3 linked regions of the Oryzias latipes genome follow. The main gene of each other region encodes a partner of the protein of the gene in region 2 in a complex. Links are inferred from orthologs where the notes say so. Each region holds a gene or a part of one and is shown on either strand. Other genes may lie near its edges. The genes, in order: lyrm4, ndufab1 and fdx1l.

The links.
Region 1: the proteins of ndufab1 (region 2) and lyrm4 are in contact, whole or in part, in a crystal structure (PDB 6ODD), measured with the Homo sapiens proteins. The link is inferred for Oryzias latipes from reciprocal best matches to the Homo sapiens genes NDUFAB1 and LYRM4. Residues at the interface, in NP_004994.1 of Homo sapiens: Lys92, Asp111, Ser112, Leu113, Asp114, Val116, Glu117, Met120, Glu123, Asp124, Glu129, Ile130, Asp132; in NP_065141.3 of Homo sapiens: Arg6, Leu10, Ser11, Tyr13, Arg14, Leu17, Arg18, Lys21, Arg37, Phe40, Arg41, Lys44.
Region 3: ndufab1 (region 2) and fdx1l share a complex: the UniProt entries of both Homo sapiens proteins name them as parts of the mitochondrial core iron-sulfur cluster (ISC) complex. The link is inferred for Oryzias latipes from reciprocal best matches to the Homo sapiens genes NDUFAB1 and FDX2.

What each region holds. Positions count from the first base shown.
Region 1 is NC_019878.2:3,839,205-3,843,165, reverse strand, and holds the start of lyrm4 (LYR motif-containing protein 4), read left to right. Parts: upstream 1-1,161; 5' UTR 1,162-1,201; coding exon 1,202-1,293; intron 1,294-3,961.
Region 2 is NC_019866.2:17,746,357-17,751,271, forward strand, and holds ndufab1 (acyl carrier protein, mitochondrial), read right to left. Parts: upstream 3,281-4,915; 5' UTR 3,223-3,280; coding exon 3,052-3,222; intron 2,147-3,051; coding exon 2,030-2,146; intron 1,901-2,029; coding exon 1,813-1,900; intron 1,144-1,812; coding exon 1,052-1,143; 3' UTR 1,033-1,051; intron 956-1,032; 3' UTR 766-955; downstream 1-765. UniProt on the Homo sapiens protein: Carrier of the growing fatty acid chain in fatty acid biosynthesis.
Region 3 is NC_019859.2:10,359,451-10,364,557, forward strand, and holds the start of fdx1l (ferredoxin-2, mitochondrial), read right to left. Parts: upstream 3,257-5,107; 5' UTR 3,222-3,256; coding exon 3,035-3,221; intron 2,099-3,034; coding exon 2,050-2,098; intron 1,361-2,049; coding exon 1,254-1,360; intron 1,185-1,253; coding exon 1,097-1,184; intron 1,024-1,096; coding exon 867-1,023; 3' UTR 1-866. UniProt on the Homo sapiens protein: Electron donor, of the core iron-sulfur cluster (ISC) assembly complex, that acts to reduce the persulfide into sulfide during [2Fe-2S] clusters assembly on the scaffolding protein ISCU.

The sequences.
Region 1 (3,961 bases), on a different chromosome or scaffold from region 2:
CACAAATCCGACTGAGTCTAATTTCTCTCCATAGTCACACCCCTAGTGGCAAATGGTGGAAATACCCACCATTTAATACTTTTTTATTGGCTTAATTTTGGGGTTATAAATATCAAACTAATGAAAATGATGTTTCATCTCATTCATTATTAGTAATATTAAAGGGGACTTAGTGTGGAGTTTGCATGTTCTCCCTGTGTGTGCGTGTGTGGGTTTTCTCCGGGGACTCCAGCTTCCTCCAACAGTCCAAAAACCCAAAAACATGCTTCATAGGTACATTAGCTTCTCTAAAATGTCTCTAGGTGTGAATGTGAGTGTGCATGGTGTGTGATTTGTGGCCCTGGCAACCTGTCCAGGGTGTCCCCTGCCTTCGCCCACGAGTGGCCGGGAAAGGCTCTGGCAGCCATGTGACCCCAAAAGGGGCAAAACGGGTTTAGAAGATGAATGAATAAAGGTAACTTTATCGTACTTCATTCAAATTCAAACCAAAAAGGAGAAACCGAATGTAAATGATAATATCCCTGACTTATTAGCTGTGTTGTATTTATAAAACTACCAAACATAAACAAATGACCAAAGATTGACAGTCCTGATCAAGAGGGTCATACAGGGAGGGTCCAGAGCAGGACTCTGTGCGGTCACACACTTCCTGTTAAAGAATCCCTGACCTAAAAAAAGACCCACGTTCGCGCGTGCACACCCACACATAAACACACACCTGACAACAGCTGAAGCTGCCTGTTGTCAAGTATGATCTGCTGCAGAACCTCACAAATACAAAAGGAGCTTTTTAAACCCGACAAGCAACACATTTTCACAATTAATGATTCTTATTCCTGCACTATAATATCGAATTTTGTACCGACACCTTAGAAAAGGTCTTCTTATTATATAAGTAATATATTTTAGAGGTTAAAATTAGCAATGCTAACTCACCTTCTGTCACACTTCAGCTTTCAACTCTTGTGAGGTATGCGGAAGCGCGCCTGCATGACTCTTGGATTATGAACATGTTTCAAAAATAAATATGCATATTTATGCTGTGTGTTATTTAATAAATGACGTTCTTTTATCAAACTTATTATAATGTAACATACGAAAATAATGACAAACAGCCTAGACTTTGGATTTCTAAACTGGCGCTAGTTGGTCGCTCTTAAGTAAGGGTCCTTCATCGCAGGGACCGAACAGCGTCGGTAGCATGAACATGGCAGCGTCTGCTCGAGCCCAGGTGCTGTCTTTGTACAGAATGATGCTGAAAGAGAGCAGCAGGTTTCCTTCCTACAACTACAGGTAAGAGGCGGACTGAAGCCGGGTTCAGCGGGGCTCATGGCCGCTGTGCTCCGGCTGTCAAAGGAGGAAAGTGCCTGCTAACGCCTGTGTTTTGATCATTGATGAGCTGCTGCAGAGTTTACGAAACTCTCCTGACTGCTGCTGCACCAGTTCATGTGTTACAAAACTAACCTTATTCATTATTACATTTCTTCCCTTTGGAATATTATACAGGGTTATTATAATGAAAAAGCTTATTTTAAGGTGTTCCCTCATGATCACTTGAAGGCACGTTGGTAATAATAGCAATGGAGTTTGGTAATGCCATGCTATAGCAGAATATGATAAAGTACAATCAATGCCATTCATAATTTCATAAGAACTTTGTTTTTATTGACAAATTGTTGACTGGTTTTGTTTTCTTGGGACTCTTATTTTGAAAGTTTGTTGATCATAACGACTTTGAAAAGCCTTAATCTCAATTTTAATCATGCAGAAGCCTTTTTATTTAAAGGTTTTGAGTTTATGGAAACAGACCTGAACTCTGTTTTGCACGTTTTACTGATAATCTGAAGCTACTTTATTTCATCTTTTGAGTGCATTCTCTCTCCTCGAACATCACTTCAAAATAAGTCAGACTATGATTGAATTCATTTTCAAAATACTTTTCAAGCTCACATGACGGAGCTGATAATCTCTGATCTCCTGCTGTCTCCTTTCATGGTGGCTATTTTGCTGTCATTCATCTTCTGCCCCCCCTTTGACTGTTGTTAAACATGTTCCTTAAGAGGAGCTCAGACCCCCACAGGTCATCCTCCTCGTGTTGGATGAGTGATTGACAGATGGAAAGTCTTCATGTGAAACTCATGATGTGGGATACGTACATAAAAGCTATTAGTCATCTATTCTGTCTGGGACTCTTATGGACTATATTTCTGTTTTATTATTTTGGAATCCCATATCTGTTGTTTGAAGGTGCTGTAGTCCTTCATGACCTCCTGTTTACACTTGTGATGGTAATTTGCCACTCGAGCTACGTTCACACCACCTCAGCAGCACACTTTCAAAATTCTCTCATTCACTTGTTGCTACGAAAGTTTCTACAACCGTTGTTGGGCTCTATGTACAAAATGCGCACCCGCTGAATGTGTTTTTAAAGTTAACTCTAACCTTAACCAGGTCAAACTTTGACCAATTAGGGACTCCGATTTTGTAGTCGCCCTTGTTGTGGCTGGCTGAGTGCTTTGAGCTTGCATTACTTTTCCTCGCTCCTGGTCACCTCTTCAATCACACCAGCTCTTTCCTCTCCCTTCTTGTGGCTTTGGACCAGAACTTGGGGGCTGTTCCCCAGCCTAAGCCGGCTCTTCCTGACCACATCCTTCCCACGGCTTCGTTGTGTTTAAGCTTGCTGATGGCCTGGTCAACGGCCTCTTCGGCCTTCCATTAGGGCTGGGCGATATGATTTTTTTATTCGATTTCCACCCCCCCATACATACACACACTTAAGGGAAGCAATAAGTACAAACTGCAGACAACTTAAAGCAAATTTTGCTTTTATTTAATCAAAAGCAAGACAAATGTAACCCCCATTTCTGGTATGAATAATAAATAAATGAACACACTCTTGGAATCAAAGTATAAGATTTTTCTTCTTCTCTCTCCCTTTTGCACTTGTGTTGTTTTATATAATTTTCTTGTTTTATATAAATTTTGTCTTCTCTTGTTATTCTACACTTGTTTTCACTTGTCCAAAATAAAAAGGTTATTTAATTTAAAGTCCCAGCTGTGTTTTAAGTCACACTTTGTAGTTTAGACTAAAAGGAGACAAACATTCACCTCAACAGTAGCACCATTATCTAAAGGATTAACAATGCAGCTCATATCTGGGGTCTAAGGTTTTAATTCAATTAAGAAACCCCGTCTTCGCAGCAGGACTCGCGGTCAATACCCCCCCCCCCCCCCCCCCCCCCCCGCAGCGTTGCAATTGAATACCGGTACAAGTAATAATTACAACGCAGTATTCTTCATTAACAAATAACAGTAACAAATAACTAACTAATGAACTAACTATATAGGTGTTGTAGAATGAGTATGTGTGTGTCAGGGCTCCAGACTAACTTTTGTATCTAATCTATCTATGACTGGGAGAAACAACAATATACAGCTTTTGTAGATTTTTTCCCCTACTGGACTGATTAAGTACCCGATGCGGTGATTTTTCAAAATAAAACATTTCTCAAAATCAAAGATAGTTCAGACTATTAATAAAAGGAGTACAGCATTGAATATTTCTTCAGCGAACCGGCCTTCTTCCATTCATTTTCTTAACCCGCTATAACCTATGTATAACCTCTTCCATCCTTGTGCTGCGCTTGCGCCAAAGCGCCCCGACTACTACCGTGTCAACCTGCTGCTATGATGACCGTATTTAGCGCTCTCTGTGTTGGACACAGGAGGAGCGCGGGGGAAAACAACTCTGAGCTACAGAGGATGTGAACAGGTAGAGAGGAAAAGCAGGTAGAGAGGCGGGGGAGGGGCTATTGGCTGCAGTTGGCTTTAAACTGTCAGAGAGATGGAAATACGGGCGTCAGATTCAGACGCAGCTTTCCCTGCGGGAGTTGAAGCAGAGACTTTCTCTGGGATGATTTTATGAACTCAAACTTGGAAACATGATTACCAAGTAGAACTC
Region 2 (4,915 bases):
CATTGTTTGAGCTTTTAAGGCTGACTGTTTCTCTTCTTTAAGAACTAATGATGTATCTATATATATATATATATATATATATATATATGCTCTGAAGAAACTGTCCTAGACTATGATGTGTTTGATTTAGCTAAAAATTGCATAATCACAAGACCACTGGGAACGCTTTAAAAAGATTATGAAAACATTCTGAAATGGTCAGACTAGAAGAACATTTGGACAATTTGAATTGTGCTTTTTAAATCTGGCTTAAGTTGGTACATGGGTGCAGCAGAAAAAAAAACTTACCCTTGTGCTTAGATGACCCCACCCTTACATTGACGTGTTCTCCCTTCCATGACAAAGGTAGAAATAGTTCATGACACCAGTGAAGACCACAAATCATTAAAGAAAAAAGGTTCAGCGCACTTTTTAGCGGGTCTACATGACCCAACTCCCAACGTTAAAGTGCCTAGGATAGCACAAGGGTTAATCGAATCAAATAAGCTAATGGCATTACAAAAAAAGTAATGAATCCATCATCCCCTGAGTGTTCCTACTCAAAGATATGACAATCTTTCAATCATTAAGGATTATGCTCCAAGAGTGAAGCAGAAGTCTTCCTCTAACTGTTGCCTCAGAATTGGACAGATTTACTTGTTGCTGTGACATCTTTGGAAAAAAAAATAGTTCTTAGATACCCAAGATTTGCAGTTTTGCAATTTTGAAAATTCAGTTTTTGTCAACTGCTTTTGCACTTTATAATAACTTGTAACTGAATAAATGTACAGAGACACCAATTGTTTTTATTGATCTATTATGAAATTATACATCAGAACCATGGGAGCATGAAGAAAAAAAACCTAAAACATGGTTTTTCTTTAATTCCTCTGATGGCCCCAAAACATTTAAATACACACAAAGTGACTCAAACTTTGATGGTTGGGCAGAGGTGGGAAAGCGCCACCGGTACTTCCTGTGTAGGGAATGGGAAAAGAAATCTAATCAGACTCTGTCGGAGTGCAATCGAACAATGACAGGGAGGACACCTGCCTTTGAGATGTAAAGCAGATTATTCATAAACGTCTTTCTTGTCTGCGATGTACTGTACAATCTCCTCTGGAGTCATCAACTTCTCTGCCTCGGCGTCTGGGATCTCGAAGCCTGAAAGACCGACAAGAACGCTGAGTCAGTATGAATGTAATTGTGTAAACATAGCGCCGTTTCCATTGACTATGAAATTGAGAAATTGGATTTGTGATCCGAAATTTGCCTAATGGAAACTATTTTGAAAAAACATGTACATATCAAAAAAAGAAAAATGTTTTTGAGGTGGATTTTGAGGCATATAGAAATTGACATTTCGCAAAACTGTAATGGGAACTTGTTTTGAATTAAATGAGTCGGATACATTTCAGAGTGAATATGTCAATCACTTCTGTTGCCATGGCGGAAGAAATCATAAAAGACAGAAAATTAGGGAGGTTGCAAGGCTGATCTGTCTGAGCCAGTTGCATATGTCAGTTGTTCAGTTCAAAAAAAGATTTTTTGTGTTTGGTTCTGAGTTAAAACTAGATAAGAAAAAATTCCCTTGATTGCAACAGGAGCGTTGGAATAGACTGACATATACTTAAAAAATCTGCTTTTATGGCATATGAGTGAGTCACAGCACTTATGATGGTTACCGGTACCCTGAATCTCAATGGTAACTGGATCATCTTTTTTCATCCAGGTCTTTCAATAACAAAAATCCGATTTAAACATCAATCCTCTCATTTTCCATGTAGATTTATCGTGCATTTTCTGAAGTTGCTGCAGTAAAGGTCAACTCACCAAATTCATCCTCCATTGCCATTATGATCTCCACCTGGTCCAAGCTGTCCAATCCCAAGTCTTTCATGAAGTGGGAGGAGGTCTGCAGCTGGGGCACAGATTTAGTATAATTTCAGTTTACAAACAGGTCTCTCACAGTGTCCCATAACAGAGCTTTCATAATTTCCTATCTGCACATAAATGGAAAGATTCTGCAGATGTGTACGTTTCTGCCCACCTTCTCTGGGTTGATCTTGTCATAGAGCTTCAGTACATACATGACACGTTCTTTGATGGTTTCTAAGGTGAGGGGGGGCAGGTCACCATACTGTCGGCAAAACACACCCACTGAGATCTGAACGAGAAAGGAAAACAGGACGTAAGAGAGAAAAGACCAAAGCAAGAAGTTATGACCAAAGACATGTTAAGTCAGAAATTAACTTAAATCTGAGATTTTCTTTAGTTTTTTTTGTGAGTTAAAAGTGTAATAAACTAATATTTTGTTTCAATAAGCGATAGGAGTTCAAAAAAAAATTCACAGATAACAGATTTTTTTATTAGATATAAAATGTTAATAATTTTGTTTGATTAAAAAATGGTTTTCTTCACCAGCTAAAGTACTGAATGAGGAGAAGACAAGAGTTTTGGTTAAACAAAGAAGTTTAACTAAAGGTAAACAAATTTAGATTTGATCAATCATGATTTGTTGGTAAATAATTCAATGCCGTTTCAAATTCCAGACAATGCATTCACAGATTACATCATAAACAGATGTAGAACTAGATTCAAGTTAAAAAAATACTGGAGTTTTTTCACTAAGCTAACAGAAAAAGCAAAACAAACGTGTTTCCACAGCGCGTTGCATACATTTGACACTAGTGCTACAATACATTTCACATAATATGTCTCCATCATCATACAATGCAAAGGTGGGATGAAAAATAAATTCAAATTAAAGTCTTTGCAGGAAACACGCTAAAAAACCAAACACAAATGTTGACTGTCATTGAACTTGCTAACCTGCTAGCCTATCATGCTATATAACAATCCAGCAAAAAGTGACGCGCATTGCGGTTTACTGTAAAACACGGCCTCGCCCGGTGTCGTCATTTCACCTAACTGATACAAGTCCAAGTGGGTGGAAAATAAAATCTAGAAAAACAGCATTTAAAGGTCATTTCAGTGGTGGAGTTTTGAAAGACATCGGTAGGTCAAGCTCCAAGTGCTAGGCCACGACTGTTCATGGTAGCAGGGACTCACCCGGCTCTGACCAAACAATCGCGTCCTCGGGCTCTCTGCAGCGAAGGACAGAGGTCGGTGGATGAAAACTGCCGGAGTGGCAGTGGCTCTGACTGCTACATTACGCGTGCAAAGCCTCAACGAGGGCCGTGCGAACGAGCGGACACACTGCTGCAGGACACGAGCCGCCATGACGAAAGGGATCCAGCAGAGGATGAGCAATGTGCAAAGCGTAGAAGAAGAACGCAGTCAATGGCTTCACAGTACGCATGCGCATAACATAACAAGTATTTTATCTATATCTAAAAAAAAGCTTATACGTAAGTTTGTGTGTGTGTGTGTGTGTGGGTGTGTGGGTGTACATACACACACTGACACGCACGCTTTTTAAAAAAAAAAAAACAATATAATCATGCTTAGTTCACGTTGTGTATAAATTTCTACATTTGTTCAAAATGTATTGAAAATCAAAATATGTAACAATGAAAGTATCAAGTACCATACAAACCATCAGGCAAAAACAGTCAATCACAGAACTTCTGTTTAACCTTGAAGTTCAAAGCACTGGTTCTGAGCAGGTTTAGTTCAAGGTTAGTTTGTTTTCAGAGAGGTGAAGCAGCATGGCATGTCCATTTGAAGATGATTTAGTGGATGAAAAAGCTCAGATAATACTTTTTTTCCACCATGAAAGGGTGATAAGACCATTTATGGGTGTTGGAAAGATAAACTTTTTTACATTGATCTAACTTAATTATTTGCTTCAGTTAAGATAAATCGTTTTTTTAAGTTAAGTCGGCTTAAAAATAACACGTAGTTATCAGACAGTTATTTTACTTTCATTCAAATTAATTCAGTTAAGTAGGTGTAACTTTGGGGCAGCTTAGGAGACAGCTTAGCTCGTGCTGGTTTGCAGCACCTTCCGTCTGTGAAACCAGAGTTCGAATTCGGACTGCTCCCTATTCCCTTCTCTGCTTCTATGCTGGTCCCAAGCCCGGTTTGATTGAAAGGGTTACGTCAGGAGGGGCATCCAGCGTAAAACATTCCCAAGTTAACCTCAAAAGACAGGTTGTTTTGCTGTGGCGACTCCTGATGGGAAAAAGCCAAAAGAAGAAGAACTTGGTGCTGCTAGATCGGCACCGCAAGGAATTGTAGGATACCATTCCCTTTGCCTGTCTGGACGGATTTGGGTTTAAGTGTGGGGTTTTGATCAAATGTGTTTAGCTGTTTTACTGTGTTTTACCTAGTTATTTATCCTGTTATGTTTAATTCTTTCTGCACCATGAGTGAGAGGGAAGGAGAGGATGATGAGTTTATTTAGCAGCCCTACTTCTAATTGGTGTATAATTAAAGTCAGAGAAATGATAAATAACATGTTACATATAGCAAAAAACTGGTGTTTCTTTCATTTTATTGTTATAAAAATGAGAATAACTGCAGGCTCAAACTTAGACATGTGAAAGTTCAAGAAGTACAATAAATTAAGATGGAAAAACATTTAATTGAATTCAAGTAATATGGCATTTAGTTAGATAAATATGTAAATTTGAGTTGTAAAAAAATATTGAGGCTGTGTCCGAATTACCGCCCTAACCCCTAACTACTAAAACCCTATATAGTGCGGCACTATATAGTTCTCTATATAGTTCTCTGAATTTTTTTAGCAATTCGGACACCCGTGCTCACTAGTTTCCTCTTTCGGGTGTTTTCGAATGGCGCTAGGCACCAAAACAAAGTGGCGCATTACCGCCACCACCTGGTCTGGAGGGGTACTACTTCTATTTGACGCCGAGAATGACACCCATTTGTCAAAGTAAAAATATAATAAATATGAACATTTTATGAATCTGCTGTTTTCTGATCATGGAAAACGTGGCTGATTTATAAA
Region 3 (5,107 bases), on a different chromosome or scaffold from region 2:
ATTTCAGCATAATTTTATTGCACAACTTTAAATGTTTGCAATTAAGACACATCTTGATTTTTGCACAAAACGACTGCGGTACCGTCTGCAGGAGAGTAAAGTGGTAAAGTGAAGCCTACCAGCTTCCTGCTTTGGATCCAAACACCTGAAACTGGTTTACTCAAAATCTTAATCACCTTCAGCTGAAAGGAAAGAAAAATCTCATCCCCAGCCCACACAGTACTGTCGTCGTTTTGAAATGTTAGAAGTTTCTACTTTGTAAATTCTGGATTGTGGAGATTCCGCTTTAATGAATGGAATATGCGTCTTTATGGCTTCTTTTGTCTGGCTTAAAAAGCCAACAGCAGGAAACCAGCGGTGATGTGAGGGTACTTTGTTAAAACGCTGCTTTTAAATGAATGTAACACATGAGGAGATTGCTACAACGAGTGGACCAGGACACAAATGAACCGGTCGACATCCTGCAACATTTGTGCGTATAGAAGCTGTAACAAGGAATGCTCCATCCTGCAGTGCGGAGACTGGATATGCTCGGCAGTGTGCGTGGTTTCAACAGTGACCAGTCTCAGAGGATGTCTGTAAGATGGCCTGAGATACAAACAGATGCTTTATCAGTTCATCACTTCTCTTTTTTTTGCATATAACCATTTATGTCACCTCAGAAGATACGTAGTGTCCAACTATCCTGACATTAAAACTGCAGAATCTTGTCAGTTGGCGAATCGTGTTGAGAGAAGCTATGGACCATACTTTCTTCCTTCTGCCTTTTTCAGTGGCTCTCAAACGCGGTCGTCCATCGGTCTTTCTCACAGCAACCCCTGCATTTTAGCCTCAGAATCCTCAGTTTCCATGTTGGGTCCCTTGATTCAGTGAGGCTTTGGAACGTGACCGTCCACATAGAAGTTCCTGGTGATTTTGGGAAGGGTCAGCTCAATGCCATCGAGTTCTGGAGTGAGAACGATCTGACACCCCAGCCGGGAGGTCTCTTGAAGCATGGGCGCCATGTCGAGCATGTCATCCTCCCTAAAAAACCAAATTCCCAGTCAACTTTTATTTCAAATCGCAATTTTTACTCTGTGCGGTGCAGCCGACAGACCTCTCTTCAGGCTCCGGCAGTTTGTCAAAATGGGCGTCGCTCACATAAACATGGCATGTCGAACAGGCCAGGGATGCCTCACAAGCTCCTAAACACAACACCAAAGGTTAGGGAACAATTTGAAGAGCGTGGATTCATCGGCTTGATCGACTCCTACCTTCCAGATGAATTCCGTGTTTGTGAGCCAAATAAAGAACATTATCTCCAACTTTGGCCTTCACCGGAATCCTCCGGCCAGACCGGTCTATGTACACCACGTTGACTCTGAATGCACACAAGAAGACATTTAAAAACATTTAGATCTTGGAAACAAGAGTCCCTTTTTAAAAAATAAATAAGTAACAATCATCCAAAATAAGTAAAACATACTTAACCTGCTTTGGGCAAAATAGCATAGTCATAAAAGACAAAAGTGTACTTCTCGGTGGACAATTTAAGTTTCTGATTACAGGTATTTGGGATAAATCATTCCATGATGTAACATTCCTTTCATGGAACAAAAAAGGTTATCTGTCCCCCGAAAAAAATCAGAAGGTTTAAAGATTTTACCATTGTCTTGTTTTTTTTTTTTCTGTCATAAATGTCCCATTTGAATCAAGTCCTCACTGCAGGTCTAGTCCGAGTCAGTGCTTTGTCATTAAAAAAAAACACAGATTTTTTTTTTAAGTGGTGTTTTTTAGCATCTCTTTTTGGCATTTTTTCTCATGATGGAGGACATGCATTTAAAGAAAGTGAAGCTTCAAATTGCAACAACTCAGATGTGAGTTTCTAATCAACTACTGCCACCCTGCAGAAACTATGTCCTAGAAAACGACACAGGCGTTTTCATTTTTGGCTAAAAACAGCATAATCATAAGGTAAAGAAAGCTGAGAACGATTTGAAACTGGATTAAATATGATCAAAGTGACTTTAATAATCTCACCCACATAAAAAAAATAATAATCACACTTACACTTCCTCTGGGTCCTCTGCAGTAGAGCTGTCCTCTTCCCTACAAAGACCTTTAAAATACCAACAAAAATGTTAGAGGCTAGATTCAGAAAACAGCACTTTTACGTTATATGATGTACAGCACCTTCTACACACAAAAAGGAGGAGGGGTGCACCTCGGAAATCCTTTAAAACATGCATCCATGTATCTCCAAGATTAAGAAACCGATCAGGAAAAAATAAAAAGGTGTCACTTTAGATTTTGCTTGTCATGATGACCCATCAGAGTCTTTACTCTATAAAATGGAAATTCTATAAGTTATAGAAGGTTTTTTCCACCAAAATGTGCTAGCTGGTATTGAAAAAAATTTGAGTGATTGATTTTTCAGAAGTTTTTGAACACAAAATATTAGTCTAACTCTGGATCTCCCTGATACAAAAATGTACAATGGAGTAAAAAAAAAATTTAAAAAGTTTTCACAAGTGAAATTGTTAAACATAGTGGGTCCACAACCATGTAGGTATGTAAACATTGTAAAATCAAACCAAATAAAGAATTAGAATGCTACATGGTATAGAAATGGCACATTATTATTCATGCACTTGTATAAGTATTACCCTATTGTGCACATCCATCAATAATTATTAGACTAAGGAAGGTATCTCTGGTTTAAATTAATTATGAACTGCCTTTAGATTTCGTCTAAACCCCGTGACAGGTGATTTTGATTCACATAACACACCTACGGGAACATTTGACCTCTGACATAATGGAGTTTCAAGGAGATGATGGCATGATGGCAAAATTACACAACTGGCACGAAGATGTTTTTTCTGCTATAGTTATAGCACTATAAAACCAAACCAAACAAGTGGACACCAATAATAGCCAGCATTCTGAATCACTTTTTATTTATTTATGTTAAATTACTAATTTTAAATTATAAGTAGTAAACGCAGGGAGTTTCTGACTGAAGCTAACCGTTAGCAAGCTGCACCACACTCACCTATGGTCGTCTGTAAATGTCGGTTTGTGGTCCGGAAACTGTCAAAAGAGCCCCTCCTTTGTAAACTGGCGCTGCTGTTCCCACAGCTCTTTAATCTGTAAAATGGGCACGTGCTACAATCTGGAATAACTCGAGACAACCTCAAAGTCAGCCCCATGCTCGTCCGAACTGCAGCGGACGCCGCCATCGCTGTGTTTTGGTCACATGACTGATAGTAGCCAATAGGAAAATAGTGACAAAAACGTTGACATTTCTTCTGTGATTTGCTTTTCTGACAGCAGGGGGCGCTTGTGTTTGACTTTTATCTGAATTAATTTTCATAACAAACCCAAAAACTCGGATATCGATTCGGATCAATTTATACATTGTTTTCTTATCAATTCATCAAAATAAAGTCATATATATTTTTTAAATTAAGGCATCAAAATGGTTTAAAAAAATCAACACTTAATTAAGGTATACAGAAATAATAATTTGCACACTTTACATATCAAGTTAACTAACAATGCACAGTGATTAAATGTGAGTTTGATTTGATTTATTTCAAGCATTAATTGTAGTCAATACAAACAAAACACACAGATTTATATAAGTTATTACAGAAATAATTAAGTATGATGATGAAATGCATACATTACAAAAAAGGACAAAAACAAAGACCCACTTAAGTCACATTTGCTTAATCCAATACAGTGATCATTAACTAAAGTCAAGAAGAGCTTGATTTATTGCTTGAAAAGGAGTGGGAACAAGCGTGCCTCTATAATCCCACCCCTACTGAGTTAATTCATTTTTTTAACTTTGCATGAATTTTGTAATCCGCTTCTGATCAGATAGATTCTTTTCAAATAAAAAAATCAGGTGATTATTAATGATTGATGATCTTCAGAAAACATGATGTCAGTAAACGGTAACATGAATCACACACTATGTCACAGTTATGTAATACTCATTGATTATAATCAGAATACAATTTCATATTCATCCAGATATCATTGCTACACATTGTAGATCAAGTTATCAAGTCACAAAATCGACTACATATTGATTATCCTCAGAAAGAATTCTTACATCATTAACATTAATGATTCACACTTTGGGCAACCAATAATCATTGATCATCATTAGAACACATTATCACACTAAACCATTGATTATTGCTACACATTACACATTAAAATGGTTAATACATAATGGCTTAAAAGCTTAAATTATTGTATAAAAGTCCTAGGCCTTCCTTATATTTGTATTTATTCATTTACAAAGAACCAATCATTTTCAATGGTTTAAAGTGGTCTTATACAAAAGTTTTCCAAATGTTTAGCTTAAGATGGTTCCGATTGTTTTAACAAAACAGTGGTTCTGTTCTCCTCACTGTCACTGAAACCATAGTTAAGGTTAAATTAGATGAACTACAAAAACAAAAGAACAAATAAACCAGATTAGGTAAAAACACTCAAAGTGAGTTAAAGAAACAAATGTTTCTAAATGTATTTTAAGGTAATTTTACATGACAAACTCCAGATAAGCCAATTTTGTTCATTTACACACACTGATATTAAAAATGAAACACGTTTGCCAAACACACTGTGTACGTTACATAAGTGTTTGATCCAGGTTGCAGCTTTGACTTGTCTAAACCTGTTTATGCCACTGGTTAAGAGCGCTTGTTTGAACCCACATTTCATCCACCTGTTTTTCTTTCTTAACAACGGGGATTGATTGATCTTTCATTCAGATTGACTCCTGCTTAATATTAATCCACACTGTACTGATGATCATATATGTCTTCATAGCAGCTGGCTGGTGCTAAATACAGTATGTCTCCAGAGCTCCATGCTCTAGAGACGTGAGCCTGAGCCCCTATTATACTTTTTTTTTGGTGTAGCAGAGGAAGATTCATTTTGATAAAGAATCTTTTGAACATGTGACCAGAGTATACAGATAAACAGACGGGTGTTATGGCTAGAGTCATGACAAAGATTCCTTCTCTTCCTCCTTCTGGAATATGAAGACAATTTGTGTTAAAAATGAGCTGCTGCCAAACATGGGGTCATTTTGGAGCAGAATGTC